3 linked regions of the Arabidopsis thaliana genome follow. The protein of the gene in region 1 interacts with the protein of each later gene in a pairwise test. Each region holds a gene or a part of one and is shown in the gene's direction. Other genes may lie near its edges.

Region 1 (9,938 bases):
AGATGTTTAATTTCACTTAACGGCGTTAGATTGTAGGACGGGTTTGAGTCAGTAATACGAGACTGTATACCACATGTGAACTTCATTAGATATGTTTAGTTTGACTGAACGGGATTAGGTGGTAAGACGAGTTTGGGTCTATTGTAATACGAGAAGTTATACCTGGTGGGCAGCTATGTGACAACTACAAGTTTTTTTTTTCCTCATGTAACATGCTATGGTCTACAAGATCTCGTGCACTGGAACCCATGGTTATAGACTCGAATCCATTAGTAAGGGTAGATATAACAATCAAAATACAATTATCTATACTATTAATTAGGAAGCATTTTGTGAACTACAACATTGTAAGGGTAGTTTAAAACTAAGTAAATAAATTTTTGCATGGGTAATTTAGTAAATTAACAACTACTAAAATATAGGAATATCTTTAAACATGCAAATATATTGTATGTTTAATTCAAAAATGCATATATGTTAACTAAATTATTTTCGTAAGATATTATTAGATATTTTCGAATATGGCAATCTAATAACAAATTATCATTTTGTTTAGATTTAATAATTTCCTTAACAAAACTATGCTGATTAAATCTCATTTGTGTACATGACAAAAAAGACTTTTTCAATTATAATTTTTCAGATATGAATTTTTTTTATTATATTTGTCGTATATAATCTAAACGAAATACTTATATCATTTAAAATACAGCTTATTCAAAAGCTTATTTTTTGGATTCTAAATATCTAGAAAATATTTCCAAGGTATATTAAAATATTTTAACATTTCATTAGAGTTTCAATGATTTAAAGTTTTAGAATATATTTTTTGTTTTTTAAACGGGTAGTTTCATTATTTTAAATATATATAACTAACCCAAATTTTTAATATATTTTTAAAAAGAATTATAATAATTCTATATCTCAAGATTATTTTATTTAGAGCCAGATAAATTATTCAATTTCAAATCAAATAATTTATTTTATTTTGTATCATATTGTTACAAGATTTTGGAATACACATTCTTCTAAAATTGATTATTTTCTTTTTGAAATAACATTAAAATAAATTTAAATACCAATGTTTTAATTTTAATGCAAATTTAAGAAACTATTGAATTTAGATCAAGATGACTAATTTAACTAATTACAAGCTATTTTTTAATTTACACAGTTTTTGCAATTAGTTCAAAATAATTCTCTAAATTTACTCACATTAAACTATCTCTTAGTTTTATGATTTTGTTAAGATTCGTTTCTTGAAGTTAAGCAAGTTTATCAAATAAATTCAAATATATATTTGATTAATTATATATTATATCAACCAGAGGATTTCTGGATTTGAGATAATATATCAAGTCGGTGTTTATTATTTATATTAAATAGTAAATATAATTTTGTTTTCATATATGTGCGCGTACACATGAACAAATGTATGAGTATGACATATTATAGTTGATAGATCATTTATTTTTTCAATTTGTTTTCATGTTTTAATTTATGGTATGTTTACAAATTTTAACAAAGCATATGTTAATCCCCAAAAGTTACAGCTGTATTTGGTATTGTGTTTAACGATAAGCAAAAATAACTCGGAATATGATATTTAATGTAATATAACGAGAATAGAAATTGCGAAAAAGGAACGACATGGAATAAGCAAATTTTAGATTACAACAAGTTACAATTTAAGCAAATTTTAGTTTGCAATCAAATATGTAACATGTGTTTTCAATTTATACAGCATAAAAATGTTCAAAATAATAAATGTTATTATAGTATGCTCTATAATAGTTAAAATTTAGAAACAAACAAATGTAATTTAATATTTATGAACAAAATATAAAACAATAAGAAGAAAGAAGTCAATTAATTTTGTAATATTTTTATTATATCATATCATATAAAAATATACTATGAATTACATTTGTGTTTGTCCCAAACGAATTTTTGCTTCCGTCACGTTCTGTTTCTAATCGGAATACAAAATTTGTCTTATACTAGAAATACATTCTCTTATGAGATATAAATTGGAGAACATGTAAGATATAATGGAACATGATAAAATTGAATGAGAATTACGCCTATATCTAAATATTTATATTTCTCGCAAACGTATTTAATCATTTTAATGGTTTTATATACGGTTTGATAGTTTACAAGTTTAATAAAAATCTACCTGACCATTAACTTGATTCAGTTTGTTCTCGGTTCGACCGTTTGATTGTTAAGAATTTTAAAATACTATTAAAATCATTATTATTTCAAATATTTCAACCAACTAATATAGTTTAGGTTATATATATATATACTATAACTATATAAATAATTTGTTAAGATCAATCTAACTTATATTATATTTCAATCTAAGATTTTTTTTCTAATTTACTCTTCAGTTTCAAACTCCAAAAATAGACTTATGGTTATAATTATGTCATAAGCAAACATAAATAATATTTTATATTTTTATGTGTACATTATAATTATTCAATACAGTATATACTACTAAAACAACAAAATAATCATATATTTAATAAAAAATTATTACAACACATTTTAAAAAATATGACATAGTAATTGTGCGGGTCAGAATCTAACAAATAATATTAATAAAATAAATATAATTTAAATTTAAATTATTTAGTTATAACGTAGATTTTAAATTAATGAACTGTACGTTATTGTTCCTATATTTTTTAACAGTAAAAATCAAACATAGTAATTGTATATTAAATAATATACAGATATAAAAGTTGTACATTCAGAAAATACAAAATATTACATTATATATATTTTTAATCGACTAAACAATTAAATTTTGATTCTTAAAAAACAAAATAGTCCCGCGGTGTAACGCGGATTAAAATGCATAAAACTATATGAGATTATTGATATCTCAGTTGTTTATATTTGGATTCAGGTATCAGCCGGATTTTACTAGATACTACTTATCTAAGATCACTTCATTGGTCCGTGTAGACCGGGTTCATCCCTAACCGTAACCTCTTCCTCCAAAACCGTAACCAATTAACCAGACCATGCGACCTTACGTTTCTATTAAACGGTCACAGTTGTATGCATTATCCTTATCCAAACACAACAACATGGACGCCACGTGGATTCTCAACGTTTGAAATCTGAACCGTCCATTAACTCAAAAAAGGAATAACAAAAGTCAAAACCACCAAAAGTCATCTCGATCCCACGGCTAAAAATTATTAATACACGTATCGTGATTAGCCATTAATTAACTAAAGTCTCCAGGTTTTTTTCGAACTAAATTCCCGATATTCGCTGTAACAATATTGAATAGAACGAGTTGTCAAACCAAAATTAAAAATTTATTTATGCAATATTCTTCGCAACAAGAAAACTATTTGTTATTAATTAATATTTTAACCTAGTTTTTCTTCTCCACCATCCAAGATTCTTTGAGATCTTATCTGTTTTACAGTTACTAAAACTCTGCAAATATATATTAAAAATTTGCACGATCTCTTTAAAGTTTTTTCTTAATTGTTTTCTCACTCTGCCCTCTTCTTCTTCTCTTTCGTTTGTGGCTCTCACGCTCTTATGTTTTAGTTTATTCAACAATGAATCTATCAATGTGAGTTGTTTTGTTTTCTTTTTTTTCAGCTCTCTATTGGCTCAATGATTGATCTCAATGCATTCTTCTTTATGGTTTTTGTATTCTTTCTTTTTTCTGTTCAGAAAAGTTTGAAGAATTCTCTTGCATGTTTTTACGATTGTCGTCAACAACACTGAGAGATAATTTGAGTCTATAATCTGGTATTTTGGATTAACAGAGATTATGACTAATCCTTCTCGGAAAATCATTTGCTGACGGATAATTTTTCACCAAGGTAAAATTTTCGTAGATCCTCTCTCTAATCATTGGTGAATGTTTTGTTTCCATGTGAAAAAAAAAAAAACATTTCTTCTTCAAGACAAATGTAGTTTATCATGTTCGGTTTTTTCAATACAGTTATGTACAAAGATCATTAACTTTGTTTGCATTTGTCTGCATTGTATAAGAGATTAGAAGATTAATGTTTTTTTTTTTTTTTTTTTTTTTTGTGTGTGGGGTCAAACTGTTGTTTTTGATTGTGTATAATTTTGATTTAGATCTTGCTCATTGTTCTTCTTAGCCATAACATTGCAGATTTTGTTTTCTTTGTTTTGACTTACAATGCAATTTTTATTTTTTTGGGTAAAGTATGGAACATGTGGGTTCATGAGTGAGTATCACTCTTCTACCTCTTTTTGGTATCAACTTGTAGTTTATGTAACTTTTGATTCATATCGTTTTGACTAAATCTTTTGGAACTAATAATAATGAAAGTTTGTGAATGATTTTGCTTTGCAGAGAAGTTTTTAAGATAAGAAGTTTTTTAGAGATGAATTTCACAGAATCAATGAACGTTGTGCACGCCAGAATCCAACAACTTGAACCAGAGAATGCAGCAAAGATCTTTGGTTATCTCTTGTTGATGCAAGAAAATGGCAACCGCGACATGATCCGTCTCGCGTTCTGTCCTGATTCTGTTATGTGTTCTGTCATCAATTGCGTTAAATACGAGTTAGCTAGGAATTCTCATCATTACCACAGCCCTCCTTCTGATCACATTCCTACTCCCAAATTTGGATCATTCACCGGTTCATCGCCTCTTTCGGTTTCGGTTTCTCCTCCCATGAAAACCGGTTTTTGGGAGAATTCAACCGAGATGGATACCTTGCAGAACAATCTTCAGTTCTTGAATTTTGAGGATCCTTTGACCAGCCCTGAATTCTCTAACGGGTTCTTCTCTCAAGAACGTCAATGTTTGCCTTTGCGAACTAGCCGAAGATCCCCGAGTTTACCCGAGTTCCCGGTAAAAATCTGCCATTACTTCAACAAAGGGTTCTGCAAACACGGCAACAACTGTAGGTACTTCCACGGGCAGATTATACCGGAGAGGGAGAGTTTTGCTCAGATGTTTAATCCAAACAACAACCTAAGTGACGAAGAGCATGTTGTTTCCCCTGTATCTCTTGAGAAGCTAGAAGGTGAGATCATTGAGTTACTCAAGTTAAGAAGAGGAGCTCCAATCTCCATAGCTTCATTGCCAATGATGTACTACGAAAAATACGGTAGGACTCTTCAAGCTGAAGGATATCTCACTGAGTCACAAAGACATGGCAAAGCTGGCTATAGTCTCACCAAGCTTCTTGCTCGCTTGAAGAACACGATTCGCCTCGTCGACAGGTTTGTTAATTAGTTATAATAGTACTCTTTCTATTTCAATCTAAAGTATTGTTTTCTTATAGTGTTTGAATTTGTAGGCCTCATGGGCAACATTCAGTTATATTAGCAGAGGATGCATCAAAGTTTGTGGAATACACTGGAGAGAGAAATGAACATGGAGCAATCCTTGCTGGTTCTAGACAGATTTACTTAACGTTTCCGGCAGAGAGTAGTTTCACTGAACATGATGTCTCAATCTACTTCACCTCATATGGACATGTGGAAGATGTGAGGATTCCTTGCCAGCAGAAAAGAATGTATGGATTTGTAACATTTGCTTCCTCAGAAACAGTTAAACACATTCTTGCTAAAGGCAATCCTCATTTCATTTGCAATGCACGTGTTCTAGTCAAGCCTTACCGGGAAAAATCACGCTCTAGTCGATACCTCGACAATTACAAGCCTCTACACGGCATGCGATATGGCTCTAAATTTATTGAGAGAGACATAGAGATGAACACATGTAAGTAATTAACAAAATCAATTTATGTGTGTGTTAATCTTTTGTATAATGGTTTTTCTTTTGTGTTGTTTTTAGTGCCACCGCGGGTTAGTGAGAGCTCAAGAATGAGGAAGCCATTTCTTAGTGAGCCTGAACAATCAGTTTCTAAGTCCTTACCTACTAATTACTCCTACCTCGGCTTCTCCTCGGATGACTTCAAGTTAACATCAAATGGTAATTACACTTTCAACTTAAACCTGGTAATCATAGGTTTAGAAATTTACTATTAGTTGCTTGATTTTTTTACTTGTAGCGGAGCAAGAGGAACAAGCAGAACGGTTGAGCTACCTACTGGACTATTTGAACACGGAAGATAATGTCATGAACATAACCACTAACTACAGAGACAATGATCGGTATGTTTAGATCTTTAACAAACACATTTTGTGATTTTTGTAATCTTGATTTAATCATATATATGATGTTTTTATTCAGGAGAACTCATTGTGAATCGTTGGACAGTCAAGTCCTGAATCTACCCGAGAGTCCGTTTTCTTCCCTTTCGGGGAAGGAGATTTCAACGGTTACATAGAGAGAAAGACTGATACCTAACCAAAGGGAGAGAAAAACATAGGAGCATAAAGGTTAGAGGGAATCCCCAAAGATCTAATCAATCGGCAAAAAAGAGATTTGTTTTTTCATTATCTTCTTTCGGTTTTAGACTGATCGATGGCATGGAGACTTTTAGGTTCTTTAGCAATAACACCACAAAGAAAAGGAAATAAAAAGTGACAGAGAAACACACAAAGAAGAGCTGTTAGCTTCAGGTTTACAAAAAGAGCCGAGCAGTTTGAGAAACATTAAGTAAAGGGGTATAATAATAATTATAATAACATTTGGAATGTTTTATGAAGGTTAATTTTCTATTTGTTCTTTTTCTTTTCAACTTTTTTTATGCTACTTCATCATATTTCATTGTATCATATCCTTTTTAGTTTTAAGAAAAAAAGGTTTTCTTGTATATATATAAAATAATAATAATAATAATTGAAATTTAAACATTTATAAAGTGGTTTCCGCAAAATTTAGAAATATTGCCATCAAGGCATCAATGAATGAAGGCGCTCTTGTATAACTTTTTATTATTACTTGGGCGAAACCCGCACCAAGCAGTAGACTTTTTTTTTAATGTAATTTTGTTAAGTTGTATGTAAGTATTGAATGTTCTTTTTCATGATTCATGATATATATATATAGAAAAAGAGATTCATTAGAAAGTGATTGAGAACACAATGCATTTGTTGATTTTTGTTTTAGTAAGATCTATATAGCCTTTATAAGTTTTGGAAGCTAATTTTTTGCTTTATGAACATCTATTGAGTCGTTAAAAATAAAAGTGAAAAGAGTTAAAAGGTGCTAATTCTGGAGAAGTTAAAGTCATTTTAGATTCTTTAGAATATGTTATATGGAGTTATTATCTTTGATTTTGTTCTTCCACATGCATACTTGATTCATATGTTGAAGAGACATAAAAAGCTAAAAACTATGTTTGTTTGTTTTTCAGAATTTGAAAATTAAAATTTTTGTTTTTTTTCATAGGAGTATACAACGTACTCAAATGATTATTCGTTATTGATTAAGATCCACAATAACGCTTAGTAAATCTGATAAGATCCTTGAATATTTTGAGGAAGAAACTCAAAAATCTTTAATGTCTCTTCTTTAAGATTCTTCTTCCATTGACCTTCTTCCTCGATGTTTCCTTCGGCTAAGACTTCATTCAGTTTGGAAATAAGCTTTTGAACCAAAAAAAAGATAATAGATGCACATTGAAGAACAAAAAAAATAGGGACGAAAATCGAATTGATCATTGGAGATTTGAGAGTAACCGTACCTCAGAGATAAATTTCATTAGGCCTTAAAGAACAAAAATGACATCTTAGTTGTAATAATTTTTTCCTTGTTTACACAATACATCAACAATGTCATCTGTAATATTTTTCAGTGTAAGCTTCTTCTCCAAAACTTCCAAATATGTTGATGATTTTTATCGTGAAAACGCTAGGTTTTTCTCTATCAAAATCATAGCATCAAACCAAACTGAAAAATGATAAGATACTGTATTGTAATAATATTATTTATCCGGAAGATCCAAAAATTGAAAATATTTTTTTTAGTTTGTCATATTCTTTTTTTTTTTGTTTGTAATTTGCATATTACTTGATAATTTGTCTTTATGAACCAAATGCATATTTGAAAATAAAATTTAATTAGTTTGAATAATTAGGAATAATTGTATTTTATTATTCGTTATATTTAAATTTCACATTTTATCATAATAATATAATATTTTTGGCATTTTAATACTTTGTATTACTATATATTATATTTTTTTGTTATTTTTAATTTAACCGTAATAACACCTGCTGGTTAACCAGTCATAAAACTCTTGCAAACGCTCCAATTTTTAACCATTAAACTAGTAGTTCAAAATGTAACATAACATTTGAAACTACAACCGTCCGCTTCCGCAGACTCCCGCATTCATAACTGCAAACGTTGTATTTAAATCAGCCTGACCCTTAATAATTTATTTTGGTTGGACATAGGCCAATAGATTTTTCCTCGAGATTACATTTTCTAATTTTAATTATGTGGTTAGATTTTGTAATTATAATTATAGTCTCTCTTTGCCAATATCCCTTATATATTAATTGAGAAACATTTTCTTAAAACAACTTTATACTTTCGGGTGATTAACGAAAACGCCATGCTTATATGTCGTTCTCACATAACTTCTCAATCTATTTGATTAAACATCCAAATTTTGTTAGGATATTTACAAATTTTACCATTAGTTTTACTTATGTTTTTTTCTCCAATTAATTTATGCTTTTGAATTTACTCAATTATATTTAAAAAAAATACGATTAATATATGCAATTTAAAGATACAAATCTATATAAAAGGAAGTACTTAACGTTTTGTGTATCTATTAATATAACAATATATATATATATATATAATTCAATATGAACTCTAATGAGTTGAAATTTTTAATTCAAATGAGTGATGGTTCAAATAAGTTATTGGGTCAAATGATTAGATAGATCAAATGAGTTGGGTTGCAATGAGAACCCACCTATTGTGGTTAAAATGAATTAAACCAACTTAAATCTCTAAACCGATATCATTTTGAGTTTAACCAAAATCTCTAAAAAAGATTGAATATAATCAATCTTTTTTCAAATGACTTCATCAACCCATCAATTTATTCATTATCAACACAATATTATCATCATCATTACCCTCTCATAATATCATATTATCATCACCATCATCATCATACTATCTTCATCATCATCATATCAACATACTATAGTCATGATAGCTATCATTATGATGATAACATTATGATATATTGTGCAAATGAAGTAGATGGAGGAGGAGTTTCTTGATCTTGTTGTTGGACACGTCGTTTTTGTAAAATCCGTGCTTGTTCCGTCTCAAAATATGCTCAAACATTTGGGTTTTGAAAGGAATTCAAATCACAAAATAAAATTTTGTTTTCGTCCTTTAATCGATCATATGTGGGCAAAATATTTTAATGGTGTTGCTTAAAGTAAAATTTGTAATGTTTTATTATTGTTTTATGATGTAATGTTTTTTTAATATATATTAGTATTTAATTTAATGTGAATTTTCCAAAACTATAATATATGGGGTCAAATTATAAATTATATAATTAAAAGATATTAATATATAAAATAGAAAAAGAATATTCCTAAGAATAGAACTATACATTGGAGATGGTCTAAGGGCTTGATTGGTTCTCTCTCTACCACCCGTAAACGGAGCGTTTGCGGTTGGTAGCGATTGACACCAATCATAGAAGCCGCTAGATATCGCTTTGGACCGCTCGAAATCGCCAGTTTTCAAAAGCTCCTTCCCGCAAGCGTTTAGGCTAAAAAAAATAATATTTTTTTAATTAATTAAAATAATTATGGCTTCCACCCAAACCCTAATCACTATAATTCAAATAATCTAATCTTTTATATATCTTATTTTTATTAGAAAACCCTAATCAATATATTGTAACCATATTCTCTCAATTATGGCATCCGATGAAAATCAAAATCAATAATCAAACATAAGTATCATCTATCCTTTTATTTATTCATTAGCTAGTGTAATTCTTCGACTATTTCATGG
Region 2 (8,196 bases), on another chromosome or scaffold:
TTCCTTTGATTTGACGGTTTATTATAAACGGCGAAAATTATAAAGTTAATTCATCATAACATTTATGGCAACATATCATATACTATTATTTCATTTTAGTCAATATTCATGTGATGTAATTAAGATTAATCATTTCAATTTTCAACACATTTTTAAGTATTTCCAACGAATTTGACCACACAAAACAAAAAAAATCAAAGAAATACACATTTTATTACTGAATTGTGTCTTTCCAAAATTTCAACTAAAATTCATTAGATATTCAAATGTGTATATAAATTTTTTGATTGATTTTCATTTCAAAAGGACAAAATCATACTTTTTCTTGGTAATTTATGAAAATTTTAACACATAGGTGGCATATATATAGTATTCGTGACAAAATAATATCTAAACTATAATAAACATTTTAAAACGAATTAAAATTGTTGTATTCTAGTCGGAAATTTGTAATTAACCTGCAAATGAAATCTAAATATCCACTAATTAAAAGTATTTTTGAATTCTGATAAAACTCTAGCGTCGCGGATATTCTATTGATCAAAAATAAAATAATTTACTACCACATAAATCTTAATCCATGCGATAAGAGTACATATGTAGGACAATGGTCCTTATTAACTCATCCAACCAACACATGACTTGGAGCTTTTGCAGGTCTCTTTTTGAGTAGAGTGAAAGCTCAATAGGCCAGATTAATTAAAAATTTACATAGAAACTTTAATCTAATTAATTAAAAAAAAATTATTTTCGCATCTAACAAAGATTCAATGTTTTTGTGTGTTTATAATGATCAGATTAATCATATTTTTTTGTTTTTGGTAAGAAGATCAGCTAAATTGATAGATATTCTACTCTTTTCTCTTTTATGTGAATCAGGTTGTGGAAAACAAGTCAATAGAGTACACGTGGCAAGTGCTAATCTGTTATAGGGGTCCCTCTAAGATGAAGTTGGTGATCTGATCTGCCCTTTTTAACGTGGTCTCACGAGAGACGTCCGATATGTAGATGGACGGTGTGAGATGACGCTGCCTTTTTCTTTGAGTGCTCTGACCACCGACTATTTTGATCTATAAATAAATGAAAATACAAGAAAAACTCATAAACATTAGTATTTGTTGTCTTTTTGATAAAAGCTAAAAATATATATTTTGCAATTGCCATTTTCTATTGCGATTCTTAGCGTAATAGAATGGGTTGTATGTGAAAGCAACAACCAAAGTTAGACCCATCCTGAATATATCATTCCTCTGATACGGTCTCTTTAACTTTGTGGGTTTTTTTTTTTTTCCTTGAATAGCTTTTGTTTTATATATTATTGGATTTCTCAACTTTATTTATCCACTTTGAATTGATAACTACAACTCTACAAGCTACAGCCATCCTAACGAAAACTGAAATATCTTATTCTCCTTTTAAAGTGAAACGTTGTTCTCGTTCACCATCAAGAAGGATAATATATACAACAAGATCAAGATAAGTAATACTAGTGAAACGGTTTCTGTAATGACATTAGAAAAACCGAGACACCAAAAAACGTGAAAACTTTAACAGAGATTCGGTTATTAGTGCGAAGTTCGATATTTGATCAAAATCAACACATTTGTAACGTCTAGATGGTGAGTAAACAGCAGCACACAATGACACACAAACAAAAAAAACACTAATCCATTATACAACAATTGATCCTACCGTCAACCTGGTGGGCTGAGATGGGCTGTTAGGAGATAATAAATATAGGCCTGGATAAATCATTTTTTAAGTACTGGTGCAATAAGTAAGTTGTCTTCACTTTGAGTTCAAGTTTTGTTCATACTGAAGCTTTTTTCTTTTTCTTTTCACAATCCTACTATATATATACGTTTTTAAGTAAGATTCACCGTATATATTTATTTTCTTTGGTAGGGAAAGATTCAGCGTATAATAATAATTAGCAGTGGTCAACAGGGTAAAAAACAACAGTAAGTAGATTTGTAAACCGGGATTAAGAATATAGATTTCAATGATAGGAAACAGAGAAGAAAGCATAAAATAAGGATAGAAGACAAGAGAAGCTATAGGTACACCAAACTCTCCAATCTAAAAGAAGAATCCAAAGAAAGCTGGGCCAAAGAGAATCCAATGGGTTATAATATGGCTCATCACTAAGTCAGTCATGTAATTAAGATTATGTATATATATATGGACAAATTTGTATGCAACTATTTTCATCTATATTTAAATTCCTTATCATTTGGTCGATTGATAATGCTTACGTAAATAATGTCTTGTTCTGGATATTTCCGTTTGTGTCTCTATATTGTCCCGGTGGTTGAATGTTCTACTCCTAGACATAAACTAGAAAATAATCATCTAATGTATAATTTTAAAAATAAATGATTATTATACTGGTAAATTTTTTAAATTAATGAGCTTTGTTAGTAAAAAATCTCAACTTAATTAATCAAAAAATCATCTAATGTAAATTATTCTTTTCTGTAATATATATATATATATATATATATATATAATTCAAGTATTAGAATATTTAAATTTTGTGAGTATTAATCTAATTTTCCTATCATCTAATGACAATAAATAAAATGTATCTATATTTGTGTGAATATGGACTTTTTGGTATTTAGATAGACTGCTTCTGCTTGGTCTCGATACTTGACTTAGGGTCGCACATGCAAACCTCATTATTTTCTTCCATAATGTTGACAATTAAAAAAATTACCGAAACGAAAACACTTTCCGGAAAAAACGATGAGGCGTTATATCATTTAAAGAAAAAACGACGATACTAATTAAATAAACAAAAGTTCCGATAATTTTTACGTATAGGTTACGAAGACAATGACTTGAATAGAATTGTGAAGCAAGTATAAATTTCAAGTTTTGGCTGAAAAATTAAAGTAATAATTTGTGTATTAGTGTAAAAAAAAAAGTCACAGAATTAAGTAGAAGAGCTAATTATTTACACGTTCCGACAAAACACTACTACGCCCCCGACTACGATACGGCATGAGTCATGACCACATATTATATTTTTCTTTATCTTCATGTTTTTGTCGACCATGGTCACATTTCATTGTTTGGCCTGGTTATTCGACAGAGATCAATTTTATTGGCAATTAATGAGTCAGATTAGATCATATTAAAATCTAAGTGCGCCCGTGGAACATGGGCGGCGGACACCGACCACCTACAAATTCTACTGTTTAAACGACACGTGGAAACTATTTATTTTCTTTTTGGGTCGCCGCTCCTTAACTTATAAGTCCTGACTGGCCCAACAATTTTTTTTTTCTTTTTGGTTTTTCTTAAAGGTTTCTTATTGAATTAGATGATAGGGATTGCAAAAGACGGTGAAGCTAATACTCTTCTATAGAATAATTGAGAAAAATATAACCTAGAATGTGTCAGAAAAGTTAGATCGCAACCAAAATTTATCAATCAACGGAATGTCAGTTAATCGGTCAGGAAAAGAGGCAATTAAAAGTGTTTATTTATTTTGCCACAAGTGCTCTTTATCGCATTTTTAAAAAGTTGTATACCACCATTTTGACTGTTGACCCAAAAATATAACACAAATTGGACTAAAAAAGCATAAGGAAAAAACTTTTCGGTGTAAACAAAATACATAACTTGAAGAATGGATATTGAAAAGAAAAAAGTAATTCAGTTTCTTGAAAAGTACCAACCAACGACTATAAAAAAAAACTAACAATCTACTTCATTGATACGATCAAACTAGCTGTTAATATTTGTATCAAGTCGATTGCATCCAGACATGTTATTTCCATAAAATAAAATAGCAACGGCTCTCTCCAACTATAAATCAAATAACATTTAGATTATGGTAATGTAAATATTCAGATATGGAAGTAGCCGTTTAACCGTATGTGAAATCTCAAACGGTCAATTTCCAAATTAGGAACTAAAATAACCGTTGGTTAAATAGTTTCCTTTAACGATTGTCAAAGAATCATTACCGTCTTCTTATTTGTCTTTTCCTTTGTAATGAAACTATATATTATAATTTCAATATAGAACAAAAGAATAACATAAATTAAGTTTTTTTTGTCCTTTTCTGCCTTTACCTTTCCTTCTACTCCCGAAAAAGCACTGACTTTGCTCTGTTTCCTTCGTTCACACAGAGAAAGAGAGAAATCTTCTGAGCGAAATTCTGACAAAAGAGATGATGGAATGGGATAATCAGCTACAACCCAATAACCATCACTCTTCTAATCTTCAAGGGATCGACGTTAATGGCGGCTCCGGCGCCGGAGGAGGAATGTACGTGAAGGTGATGACCGATGAGCAGTATGAAACTCTCAGGAAACAGATTGCTATTTACGGCACCATTTGTGAGCGTCTTGTTGAGATGCATAAAACTCTCACTGCTCAACAAGATCTTGCAGGTTTCTATCCTTTCTTCTATCATTTAGTTTCTTCTTCTCTGTTCATCTAAAGATAAAAAAAGGACTCCTTTTGAAATTTTTAAAAAAATTCAGAATTTTTGTGTGGTTTAATTGATTTTTTAGTGATTCTTCTTCACTTTGGTGTATGGGTAATTGAAAATTCTCTGCCTTTTAAGCATTTGTTGGCTTAAATCTGATTCAAAGACCAATCCTTTTCGTGGATTTTTGAGCTAAGAATAAGGAAAATAATGGTTCTTGAGGAATTCTAGAATCACTCCTTTGAATCTTTCAATTGAGCTTCGAGAATTTCCCACCAAAATAGGTGTTTTTAGCTTGATGATGTGTTCTTGAGATATAAAGTTTCAGTTTTTTTATTTAGTTTAACTTTTAACAACTCTGCTCATTTGTCTGTTGTTGGTAACAGGAGGGAGAATGGGAGGACTATATGCAGACCCAATGATGTCATCTTTAGGTCATAAGATGACAGCTAGACAGAGGTGGACTCCTACGCCAGTCCAGCTTCAGATTCTGGAACGTATATTCGATCAAGGCACGGGAACACCGAGCAAGCAGAAGATCAAAGACATAACAGAAGAGCTGAGCCAACACGGCCAGATTGCTGAACAAAATGTCTATAACTGGTTCCAGAACCGACGTGCTCGATCCAAGAGGAAGCAGCATGGTGGAGGTTCTTCTGGAAATAATAATGGTGAGTCTGAGGTAGAGACTGAAGTTGAAGCATTGAATGAGAAGAGAGTAGTGAGGCCAGAGAGTCTTCTTGGTCTTCCAGATGGAAATAGCAACAATAATGGGTTAGGGACAACAACAGCAACAACTACTGCTCCTAGGCCTGAAGATCTTTGCTTTCAGAGCCCTGAGATTAGCTCAGACCTTCACTTGCTAGATGTTCTATCAAACCCAAGTAAGTAACAAAGATACCTTTTTAGTTCACACGTAACTGAAAAAAACAGAGACATTGGCTTTGAAGAAATAGTCAAGTAAGTTGTGTCTGTCTCAGATAATTTCTTGTGATTTGTGTTTGTAGGGGATGAGCATCTTGTTGGAAAGATGGGACTGGCGGAAAGTTACAACCTTTATGATCATGTTGAAGATTATGGCATGTCAGGCTGATTGAATACAAGCTGAGGAAACTTCTAATTATCAGAGAGATCAATGAAATGGATTTGGTAGTCAGTCATAAGCAGTATTAGACTTTTGTTTTTCTTAAATTGTTTCTTTCAGGGCTTATTAAAGAAACAAGTAGTTTATCTTATTAATCATTTTCAGAGAAACATTTACATGGATTGTTGAATCGTCTTGTGATGCTTGCTTTGATAATTTCTGCATTCAGAACGATTTTTACATCCTTAAATGAATTATACTGTAAGAAATAAAAAAATTCCAAGAGAAAAACATTTCAATTCAAACCTCTCCAGAGTTGAAAACATGCAAGTCTAACAAAGTTTTGTAATGGCCTTTCTCTATTTCTTCCTCATTCACATTGTGTAAGACCAGAGTCTGTATAACCAAATCCTCCCAATCAATTTCAGATCCTTTCTTCCTTTTCTTCTTGCTATGTTCAAGCTCCAAAGACAACGCACCTTCACTAACATTGTCAGAAGGATGTTGTATTGCATTAATCCGCAACTTAGCTGCCTTAATCTTTTCTCTTCGTCTTTCAACTGCAACGCAACCCTTTATGTAAGAAGGAGGCAAAGCTTCAAGCCCTACATCTTTCTCCAACAAGTCTTTGAGCAAAAGCCTTTTACTCAATTCCGATTTCCCTTTCCACCAATTTTCAGTTGACACCATTCCAAAAACAGATCTCCTTTGCCACATACTCTGACTACTTCCCTGACTTCTTTTCGCAAGAGTCCCACCACAAACTCGATCCTCAAATTCATTATACTTTGTAGACAACTGATTCTCCGATATATTATCATCATAGTTACATAAACTAAGCTGACGTTCACCTTCTACATCAAAATACCGAGACATAGTATCTTGACGAGCATCATCATCATAACAATACATAGATTCTTTGCTTAGGCAGTCCATCACTAAATCCTCCACACAAAATCCATCAGTTCTAACTAATTCTTTCCCAGTCCCTTGTTTTCTCTTTTTCATGGACTTGGCTTCCATTAAAGCAAACAAAGTTCCTGAATGTTTCAAAACATTCTTCACAGTAACATCTTTCGCCCAAGGCAAACCCACCTCTTCAGCAACCTTCACAAGCTTCTCAGATAACTCTTTATACCGCGTTTTACAAGTAGTCAACGAAACACTAGCATCTTTCGCCAAATCATCAATCTTTACCTTCACACCATTCACTTGAACAACAAACGCCAAAACAGCCACAACCAAAGGCATTGGTCTCCTCCCCGTCGACAAAAACCATTTCAACGCACAATTCATCAGGAAAGTCCCTTGCTTTATTATCTTCTCCTTCTTATCCCTATCAACATCAGTCAATCTCGGTGAATTAGTAACCGTCTTGGTAAACAAACCCACAAGATCAAACTCTCGCAATTCCAAATCTAGATGATCCACAACACGCTTAATCATAGGCCCTAACTGATGCAAATCACATCCAACTTCATAAGCAACCTCTTCCATAGACAAAACACCTTTCCCTTCTTCTCTTACCACAGCATAACAACAAGCTCCAATCAAAATAGGGAACCACTCACCTTGTCCAAATTCCCCATCAGTAAGCTTACTAATCATACTCTTAATCACTTCAGTTTTATTACCAAGATTCAATCTTTCTGTTGTCTCCTCAATTAAATTGTTGGCTTCATAGATCTTCTTGTCTTTATAATCAAGAACAGAGCCTCTACCAATGGTGCCTACTCGTATATATGTACCTTGAGGTCCTCTTATGCCGCCAAGTTGTGCCTCATAATTATCATACTCTCGTAATGTCCCACATCCACCGCAATACGAATTCCCCGTGTCTTCGTCGCGTTCAAAGTTGCTTCCATTGCATCTCTTGCAACGCATGATTCAAACCGAAAGCTTCACACTTTAAATTACGGGTTTTTTTTTCCGACAAGCAGAAGAATGAGATTCGGATCGCCGGCGAATCGAGAAGTACTGGAGAGAGAAATCAAAACTAATTAAGATTTGACCTTTCCTTAAAAATAAGCTAGGTTTTTATATTGTCGAGATGAAAACGGCATGATGTTAATATGAATAAAACAAAAACGCCAGGGTGTTTTATTTAGGACGCCACACAGTTTGTATTATTTTCTCTCTTTTGGCTTTTTGTTGTCTCCTCCACCATAGTGCCGTCTTTTATCTCTTTACCGGTAAGAGAAGCCGGTTTCAGATTTGATCAATTCGAAGAATTGTGGCTTTCGTTCGTTGGGTGAATCCTTGCTTCGTCCTTTTTGATAGATTGCTACTGTGTTTTCGAGGAAGTTGTGTGGAGATAGTTAGAGAGATTTATGAGATTTCAAGAGGGGTTATTATAACGCACGCATGGTGTTCGACGGAAAGCCGCAGAGAAGTTTTGTTGCTATCCGATTTGACTGAGACTCAAAGTTTGAAAATTGTTACTTGGGTATTGAGAAAGCTAACCTTGGGCAGGTTCGTATATGAGTTGGGAGTAAAACGACGGTGATACATTTGACTGTTTTTCAACTAAACTAGCTTTGAAATGGTGAGCTTGTCTGTTTCGAATAAGAGATACACTTACATACACGAAAGTGGAAGTAAGTCAACTAGAGAAGCCATTGATATTCACCATGTGATTATCAACGGAAGCAGCGGAACTGGTTATGCC
Region 3 (7,933 bases), about 12 Mb from region 1:
GAGTATTTGAGACTGAGTTGGGAGCCATATCCAAGACTGAAGCAAAGTGAAAAACCTGACCAAAGGATCAAAACTCTTTTCTTTAGTCATATATTTTTTTTAGTAAATAAATGGTTTCTGAAAAGCGTTTCTTAAATTTTACATTTACAAATATTTTCATATTTTATGACTAAAAAAAAAAAATCAGATCGATATGAAATAATTTAAGAATATGTCCAGAACATCTATATTGATTCAAATATTAGGGATTCTCCTGTATATCTGGCCAAGATCGCTAGTGGTTAGTACCTTTTTGATGATCCACGGATCCTTGAAGAGTGTTAGTTCTGTTGAGACACCGTACCATTCGTCCTCTGCCTTTTCTTGATACGAGAGATTCCTCATTCGTGCAATCTTTCTTTCTACTTGTGTTAATTTGTAGTCTCTTGGTATGCAAGAAATATTGAGAACTTCGTCAGAGTTCATCTTCCTCTTATTAGGGTTTTCACAAGACGACAAAGAAAGAGTTGTGGAGACCAAACTCTTTTTAGAGTTTTCCGATGACTCGTCGTGGAACAAGTATTGAGTCTTCGACGCAGAAAAGGGAGGAGGCATCTTCATTGCCGAGGATTGGAGGTCTTGGGGTAATTTTTGCAGATTTTGGATCATTCTCGTTCGATTCTCAAGATGTCGTCGAGAGTTTCTTTATCTTAGACTCAAGTTCAGAGAGCTAAGGGAACGTAGATATATAAATAATTTAGTAGCCACCTTTGCCTTAACTTTTTCAGGTATTTTCCTGTTTAAAAAAGGAAATCCATTTGTTATAGAAAAAAGGAAAATGATTTATGTGAAAACTGAATATTACCTTTGTAGTTATTTTTATTCTGCGTTTGAACTATGAAGCTGTTAATTTTCCATTTCTTAGGGTTTGGGTTTCCTATGAAGATGAGTGTGCGTCTTAGACTTTTGGTGCCAACTATCTCTATTTGCGTGAATCAATGTTCAGATTTAATATGGTTTGTGTTATCATAAGAATTTTATTTCAATATAGATGGTCATTACTATGACAAGAGATATTCAACCTACATGGGCTAGCGAAGCCCACAACATAGCCCAATACAGCTAGTTTTCTTTTTAAAATGCAGTCATGCAGATATGTGTTCAATAAGTTCTGTTTTGTTTTAATGTGAACAAAGAGGGAGGATCGGAGCTTTTTCAACTTATAAGATTTTAAGTTGAATTTGTGAATTAATTGTGGTAAAGATCATTGCAAGAGTGATGAGGACCTACATGAGCATAGATCGTGTTCCGGACAAATCTGCCCGATTCAGAAATCAGAATCCTCATTGGTTAGGCGGACATATCACATATGTAAACGACTTTATCCATGACTAAGCTAGTGTAGGCGTGTAGCCACACAAAAAACTTAAGAATATTGTGGGGTTATTTTTGTAGTATTCATTACCATTTCCAAGAAGTATAGCTACCGATGATTTGTTCACTAGTATAGTGGCCGCTATTGTGTTGTCGTGGCCATGGATATTGACTTGGTAACTAATTTTGTAGCTGGTCACAACATAAAGTTTTGTAACAATTCATATACGTAACATGAATTGTCTCATAAACATACAATACCAATAGAGACTGTGGAAATGCCACCCTCACAAACTGTATATACAGATATGAACTGTTCTATAACTTGCTACATAAAGTACTAGTAAACCAATTGAACCCAAGCACAAGTTACTCCAAAACAATATACAAGTTACTCCGTAACTCAATCTCAGCAAGACGACATTTGCGCAGCTTCTCAAGACTGATGCAACCGTGTGGCTCCACTAAAGCTCTTTTATTGAATCTCATAAAATTCTCTTGTATATGTTCCCTTGTTTTTATACCTTTTTGGCAAAGTAGCAATTATATTTATAGGTCTAACTTCTTGTACGCCCCAACTTTCATTCCTTACTGATATTTACAATTTAGCAACAACAAAAAAAATAAACACAAACAAATATCGATCAAAGCGTTCTGACTAGATCATGTGGTTTAGATCAAAATTAAAGCACTATCGTAACTAAACATACGTAATTTATTATAGTATTACAATGTGTTCATCTAATTGAATAGATGGCATACTAAGTAAAAAAGATGAATGCAACAATCAATGTATATACATAATTCAATAAATACTTAATTAAAAGATATAAATACAAATATAACACTAGGTCAAAGTTGGCCAATAAGAATAATTCTTTTGTGGCAATCATATAGACTACGGCATGGTCTTATGCTATTGGTGTGAGATTGGAGTTGATTTGTTCGTGCGAAGTTTGCTCTGACTATAATATTCAATGTTGACCACATATTATGTAAGCCCATACGTCATCTAGGTCTTTAAATCAATATCTTATATGACACACTTTTAGATTCCCCATTCGGTCAAATGTTTTATTAATTTAGAAAGTAAGTTTATATTGTTTCAGGTTATGTTTTTGTTTGTTAAATATTGTGCTTTTTCTTCAACCACAAGTTTATATGATTGAAAAATAATTCATCAACATCATGCATGTAATGACAATATTTTTTTTGTTTTTGTGTTTCTGATAAGGCGCAATGACAATATTCAACCCCATAAAAAAATCCCTCAACCATTTTTAAAATGGCACGAATCGTCCAAATTGCTTATAATAGAAATATTAGATTAGAATCCACAGTCAGATCCCACATATTATTATTAAAGAGATTCATCGCATATTCCATTCCAGTTGTTTTATGATGACTTGTGCAGAGTGTATTCCGTAAAACTATATATGTAGCGAATAGAAACAGAGTTTGTCCTTTAATTTTGAATATTCATCCTAATTAACCATGAACTTTTATATATTACATAAAACAATTTAAAAACACACTCAACTGTATTGGATGACATAAGCGACTTTTAATTAGCAAAAATATTATGCTATTTTATTTATGTGATTTATACAGTACGTTGTTTATTAAAATAAAATGATTGTGCAAAACACATATGTATCTATATATATATATATATATATATATATAAAGACATTAAAGTCAAATGATAGAAAATACATTATTTACCTAAATAATTGGTGTTTACATGTTTATATATATTAAAGTGTTTCTTTGATTATATGTTTGTCATTTGCTCATTTACCTAAATAATTAGATATTCATCATGGTCATTTAGGTAAATTAATTTTTTGGTGAGTCATTTAGGTAAATTATTAACCCTTTAATGTTCAGGATGAAAATAATTATTTAAATCCACCACATATATAATAAATAATTAATTTTAACTTAAAATGTTGACCGTAATTAACACAAGACTTGGATCATAATTAATGAATTTTGTATAAGACAGTCGTTTTTTTTTTCGTCTTTTGAGACACGCAATCGATTTTGGGTTAACACAAACCATTAATACAACTACATAGTGGGTCGGTCGATGCAGTCCGTAATGTAACGTTTGTTAAGGAAAATTAAAGAGATGAATACAAAGAATTGTTTTTAAGGAACAAAAAAGTGTGTGTAATGTTTATGACCAAAATATCCTCTAGGTTAGACAAACTCTCTATAATATTGGTCAACAAATACATGCGTGTGCGTCTATATATAACATAGATGCAGAGAATAGACATCTTTGCTGGTTCTTTGGCTTGTACCCAAACCCATCTTTGACTTCAAAAATAAAATAAAAATAATCATAATTGACATCATCGGATAATGCATAGCGGGAAGAGACCTCTATCACCAGAATCAATGGCCGGAAATAGAGAAGAGAAAAAAGAGTTGTGTTGTTGCTCAACTTTGTCGGAATCTGATGTGTCTGATTTTGTCTCTGAACTCACTGGTCAACCCATCCCATCATCCATTGATGATCAATCTTCGTCGCTTACTCTTCAAGGTAATTTCATCAGATCCTTTTTCCAATAATTTTAATTGCTATACTTTATAACTCGAGTGATTGTCTTTTCCATTGGTGATTCTCTTTACACATAGGAATGATTTAATCTTGGATTTTGCAATTGGTAATCCTTTAGTGGCTGCAGCATGGCCTTGATCAAATAGAGATATAATTTCATGTATGGCCACAATGCATTAGTTCAATTTACTATATGATTTTTTTAATGAATGTTCATGGTTAGATTTTCTTGAAAAAACCTGTCGGCTTTATTGGTTGGACAAAATTGATCATATTTGGCTTTCGGACAAATATGATTGGCAAGGCTTGGTTGCAATGGTCGTATTTTGGTTGAGATAACTAGCCAGAGAGAGTTTTAGGATTGTAACATGGGGAAAACGTATTTAAAATGATCAAACTTAATTTATATCCTAATTATATCATTGGTGTGATACATAAGTATATATATAGTTAATTACCAATTACGAGAGAGAGGAATGTATAAATGTAGGTTTGGCCTAATATATAGATTTCATAAGTAGATGTAGAAGAGGGGAATAAAAGTTGATGTAGAATGATCATATCATATGATTCAAACGCCCTTTAATAATCTTTACGAAATGCCTCTACACCGATAGTATACGTTATATTCATAGACATGCACGTCACATTTAAGTCACCATTTTCATGACAAGAGTGAACTTACAATTTTCATCATTTTTCTACAGAAAAAAGTAACTCGAGGCAACGAAACTACAGAGGCGTGAGGCAAAGACCGTGGGGAAAATGGGCGGCTGAGATTCGTGACCCGAACAAGGCAGCTCGTGTGTGGCTTGGGACGTTCGACACTGCAGAAGAAGCCGCCTTAGCGTATGATAAAGCTGCATTTGAGTTTAGAGGTCACAAGGCCAAGCTTAACTTCCCCGAGCATATTCGTGTCAACCCTACTCAACTCTATCCATCGCCCGCTACTTCCCATGATCGCATTATCGTGACACCACCTAGTCCACCTCCACCAATTGCTCCTGACATACTTCTTGATCAATATGGCCACTTTCAATCTCGAAGTAGTGATTCCAGTGCCAACTTGTCCATGAATATGCTGTCTTCTTCGTCTTCATCTTTGAATCATCAAGGGCTAAGACCAAATTTGGAGGATGGTGAAAACGTGAAGAACATTAGTATCCACAAACGACGAAAATAACATGTTAATGGCATAAATATCTCTTCGTCCAAGTTATCAAACGCATTGACCTCCGGCTTTGATCATTTTAGGCGCTTAATCTCTTTACGACTTCATTTTGGTAGTCTTTAAAGAGTCTATGGAGTGGATTTAGCTAGGAATCAGGCCTTATGGATGAAAAATATATAAATTTTGAACATGACTATGCAAGAATGGGATGAAGACTACTTAGCTTGGAAAACGTCCTGATAGGTCATGACGACTATATCCACAGAAGATGACCGACGGAGACAACAACATGCCTCACCTGATCGACCGATCAAATGAGATAATGTGTTGACCGGACCGGTCGGATCAGGTTGGGTCGAGTATATCAGGTAGAAAAAAGCTCGTACATGGTGCTTTATGTCTTTCCACTCCGAAGTAGCTTGCTAGTTTATCCTTTTGTATCACGTACGAAAGAGATAAAAAAAAAAGTTCAAAAACAAATATAGAGGGTATACACATGATGAGGGTGTTCGAGTTTCCAAAACATAAGCTAAATTTTTTTAAATATGTACTTACATTTATATCTGTCTTATTATCCAATGCTCATATATTTTTCAACGCGTTGAATGATGAAATGGTTGGTAAATAAAAATGAAACTAAACTAGGTAACAGTCTGCATATGAAACGATTAAAAAACGATTCAAGTAAAATTATTATAAATAAATTATTATATAGGATACACATATCGACTGCTAGTGTATAAAACAAAACATGTAGTAAAAGTTTTTTTGTTCTATTCAAATTTGCGATTATTTCATATAAGTGTATCTTTCACCAGTTAAATAACTGAATGGAGAAAAAGGTTCAACATTATGAAAAATTATTCATGAAAATTATTATCTGTGAAAATATGTTTTATGTTTTTAAAAATCAAATTCACATCTTGTGTGTTTTATTGAGTAATCAGAACCATTTAACCTGTTTTTTGCAAAAAAAAAAAAAAATCACGTAATTTGATGGACAAATCCACAAAGAATCGCGATCACAAAATTAAAATCAGAACTAATATGCCTCTTAGATGATTACATGTGGACACTATCAAATCTACACTATTTATGTTAAATGCTATGTATCATCAAAACATAATAATTTACGTATAGATTCATTAAACAATAATAGTATATGATATCATAAATTGCTATTGTTTTATATAGTGTTTCTCAATTAATCATAATAAATAATATAGGTATGAAATCTAAACATTTTAATACCAAAATCATTTGTATGTATTGACCTCATAAAAGAGGATAAAAACTATCCTAATATATTAAACCCAATTTAGAACACAAATTACCATCATAACTCACAAATCACAACAAACAAAATACAAAAAGAAAAAAGAAAGAAAAAATATAGAGATGAACTCAAAGAAAACAGGCTTCTTTTAATCTTGTTCCTTGTATCACCCTTCTGTGAGTTCTTCACTCATACAAATATATTATAATTCATTTACTCATATATCAGTGTGTTAATATGTATAACAATGAAACACACACATATATAATTTATATTTATGTTCTAATGACTATAACATATAGGTGATACCCTGATTTTTAATGGATTTTTAAAAGTAAAAGAACGAATACTATTTAATGTTGATTCAATATCAAGTGCTATTTGCTGTGGTGTAAAATATGAAAATTTTAGATTCATTTTTTTCAAATGAATTAATTTATCTAGGAATTTTCAATTTGTTAGTTTCTTTATTGTGAGCTTAAAGATTTCTTAAAAACAGTAATCAAGTAATCAACACAAACAAAAATTGCGGTTTTAGTTTCAGATCAGAATCAATTGAATTGGCAAAGCAGCCATATTTTTTTATTGGATTATAAATCGATTTTTGGTTTTTAGGATATATAAAACTAATGTTAACAAAAAAATTGTACGGTTTTTCATATCAGTTTGTTATGCTTAACTAGGCGGTTCAAATACATTTGGTTTATCCAAATTGAACACTTACAACTTTTTAAAAATTATTATCTAGTATTGTTTTCTTTTGGATAATCTATTTGAAGGTATGACGATGACAGAAAGCAAAAGATGTCACAAAGACTCAGATTGCAAAAACAAAGTACCATGTGCAATTCCTGTTGCCTGTCTATATGGCGGTTGCGTTTGTACATTAAAGCAGTCTTTCTCTGCTTGTAAACTTATGTGTGCACAGCAGGGAAAAAACACTATAAACCGTTTTGATTCTGATCATTGTGTTTGCGGCGTTAAGTAAGAAAACAAACATGTTGTAATATAACAAGAGAATTTGCAAAACTTGAATAAAAAGTATAATTTAAATTTGTTTACTTTTCTTTTATAATAACAATTCTTTCTATTCAGAATCAAACAAAAGCTACAAAGAATAATTGTAAAGCAGCGCATTACAAAAGTCTTTACACTAGAGGATGAAAATAAGTAGTATTGTTTACTACCCAAGAAAAGATGAACATTGTATTGTATAGTAACAATCTAATTAAGGTTGCTATGGAAACTTTATATATCTGTATCTTTATGTTTGTACTGTATATCTTCCTTTTGTATACATGCAGATTTTTGCTTTAAATAAGTTATACCGTGTTGGCAATGGTCTATTTAGTTCATCTACAATCTCGAAAACTACATTCTTTAGCCCAATTGTAATGTGGTTTTCACCAATGGATAAATGAATAACATAGAGCTCACCAAAGACACAATTTCCAAAGTCGCTTATCGCTCATGATGAAAAGAAGAGTAACCTTAAAACTTATAACACCATGGTTCACAAGATATTGCATGAACCAATAAGAAAAGATGAATACCATACGTACCA

What was found. Proteins that work in one complex are often made in the same cells at the same time.
Region 2: the proteins of AT2G05160 (region 1) and WOX13 interact in a two-hybrid assay, tested with the Arabidopsis thaliana proteins (one large-scale study listed by BioGRID).
Region 3: the proteins of AT2G05160 (region 1) and AT2G33710 interact in a two-hybrid assay, tested with the Arabidopsis thaliana proteins (one large-scale study listed by BioGRID).

What each region holds. Positions count from the first base shown.
Region 1 is NC_003071.7:1,855,391-1,865,328, reverse strand, and holds AT2G05160 (CCCH-type zinc fingerfamily protein with RNA-binding domain-containing protein), read left to right. Parts: upstream 1-3,264; 5' UTR 3,265-3,607; exon of another isoform or gene 3,608-3,711; 5' UTR 3,712-3,863; intron 3,864-4,366; 5' UTR 4,367-4,397; coding exon 4,398-5,245; intron 5,246-5,322; coding exon 5,323-5,747; intron 5,748-5,822; coding exon 5,823-5,960; coding exon of another isoform or gene 5,961-6,016; exon of another isoform or gene 6,017-6,039; coding exon 6,040-6,142; intron 6,143-6,221; coding exon 6,222-6,318; 3' UTR 6,319-6,786; downstream 6,787-9,938. UniProt on the Arabidopsis thaliana protein: Possesses ribonuclease activity in vitro.
Region 2 is NC_003075.7:16,873,155-16,881,350, reverse strand, and holds WOX13 (WUSCHEL related homeobox 13), read left to right. Parts: upstream 1-3,899; 5' UTR 3,900-4,183; coding exon 4,184-4,406; intron 4,407-4,830; coding exon 4,831-5,328; intron 5,329-5,451; coding exon 5,452-5,537; 3' UTR 5,538-5,828; downstream 5,829-8,196. Other genes in the region: AT4G35540 (POLLEN-EXPRESSED TRANSCRIPTION FACTOR 2), read right to left, coding at 5,829-7,412; AT4G35530 (phosphatidylinositolglycan-like protein), read left to right, coding at 8,071-8,196.
Region 3 is NC_003071.7:14,256,443-14,264,375, reverse strand, and holds AT2G33710 (Integrase-type DNA-binding superfamily protein), read left to right. Parts: upstream 1-3,636; 5' UTR 3,637-3,723; coding exon 3,724-3,904; intron 3,905-4,629; coding exon 4,630-5,069; coding exon of another isoform or gene 5,070-5,105; exon of another isoform or gene 5,106-5,336; coding exon 5,337-5,411; 3' UTR 5,412-5,567; downstream 5,568-7,933. Other genes in the region: AT2G33720 (AP2/B3-like transcriptional factor family protein), read right to left, coding at 1-55, 289-600.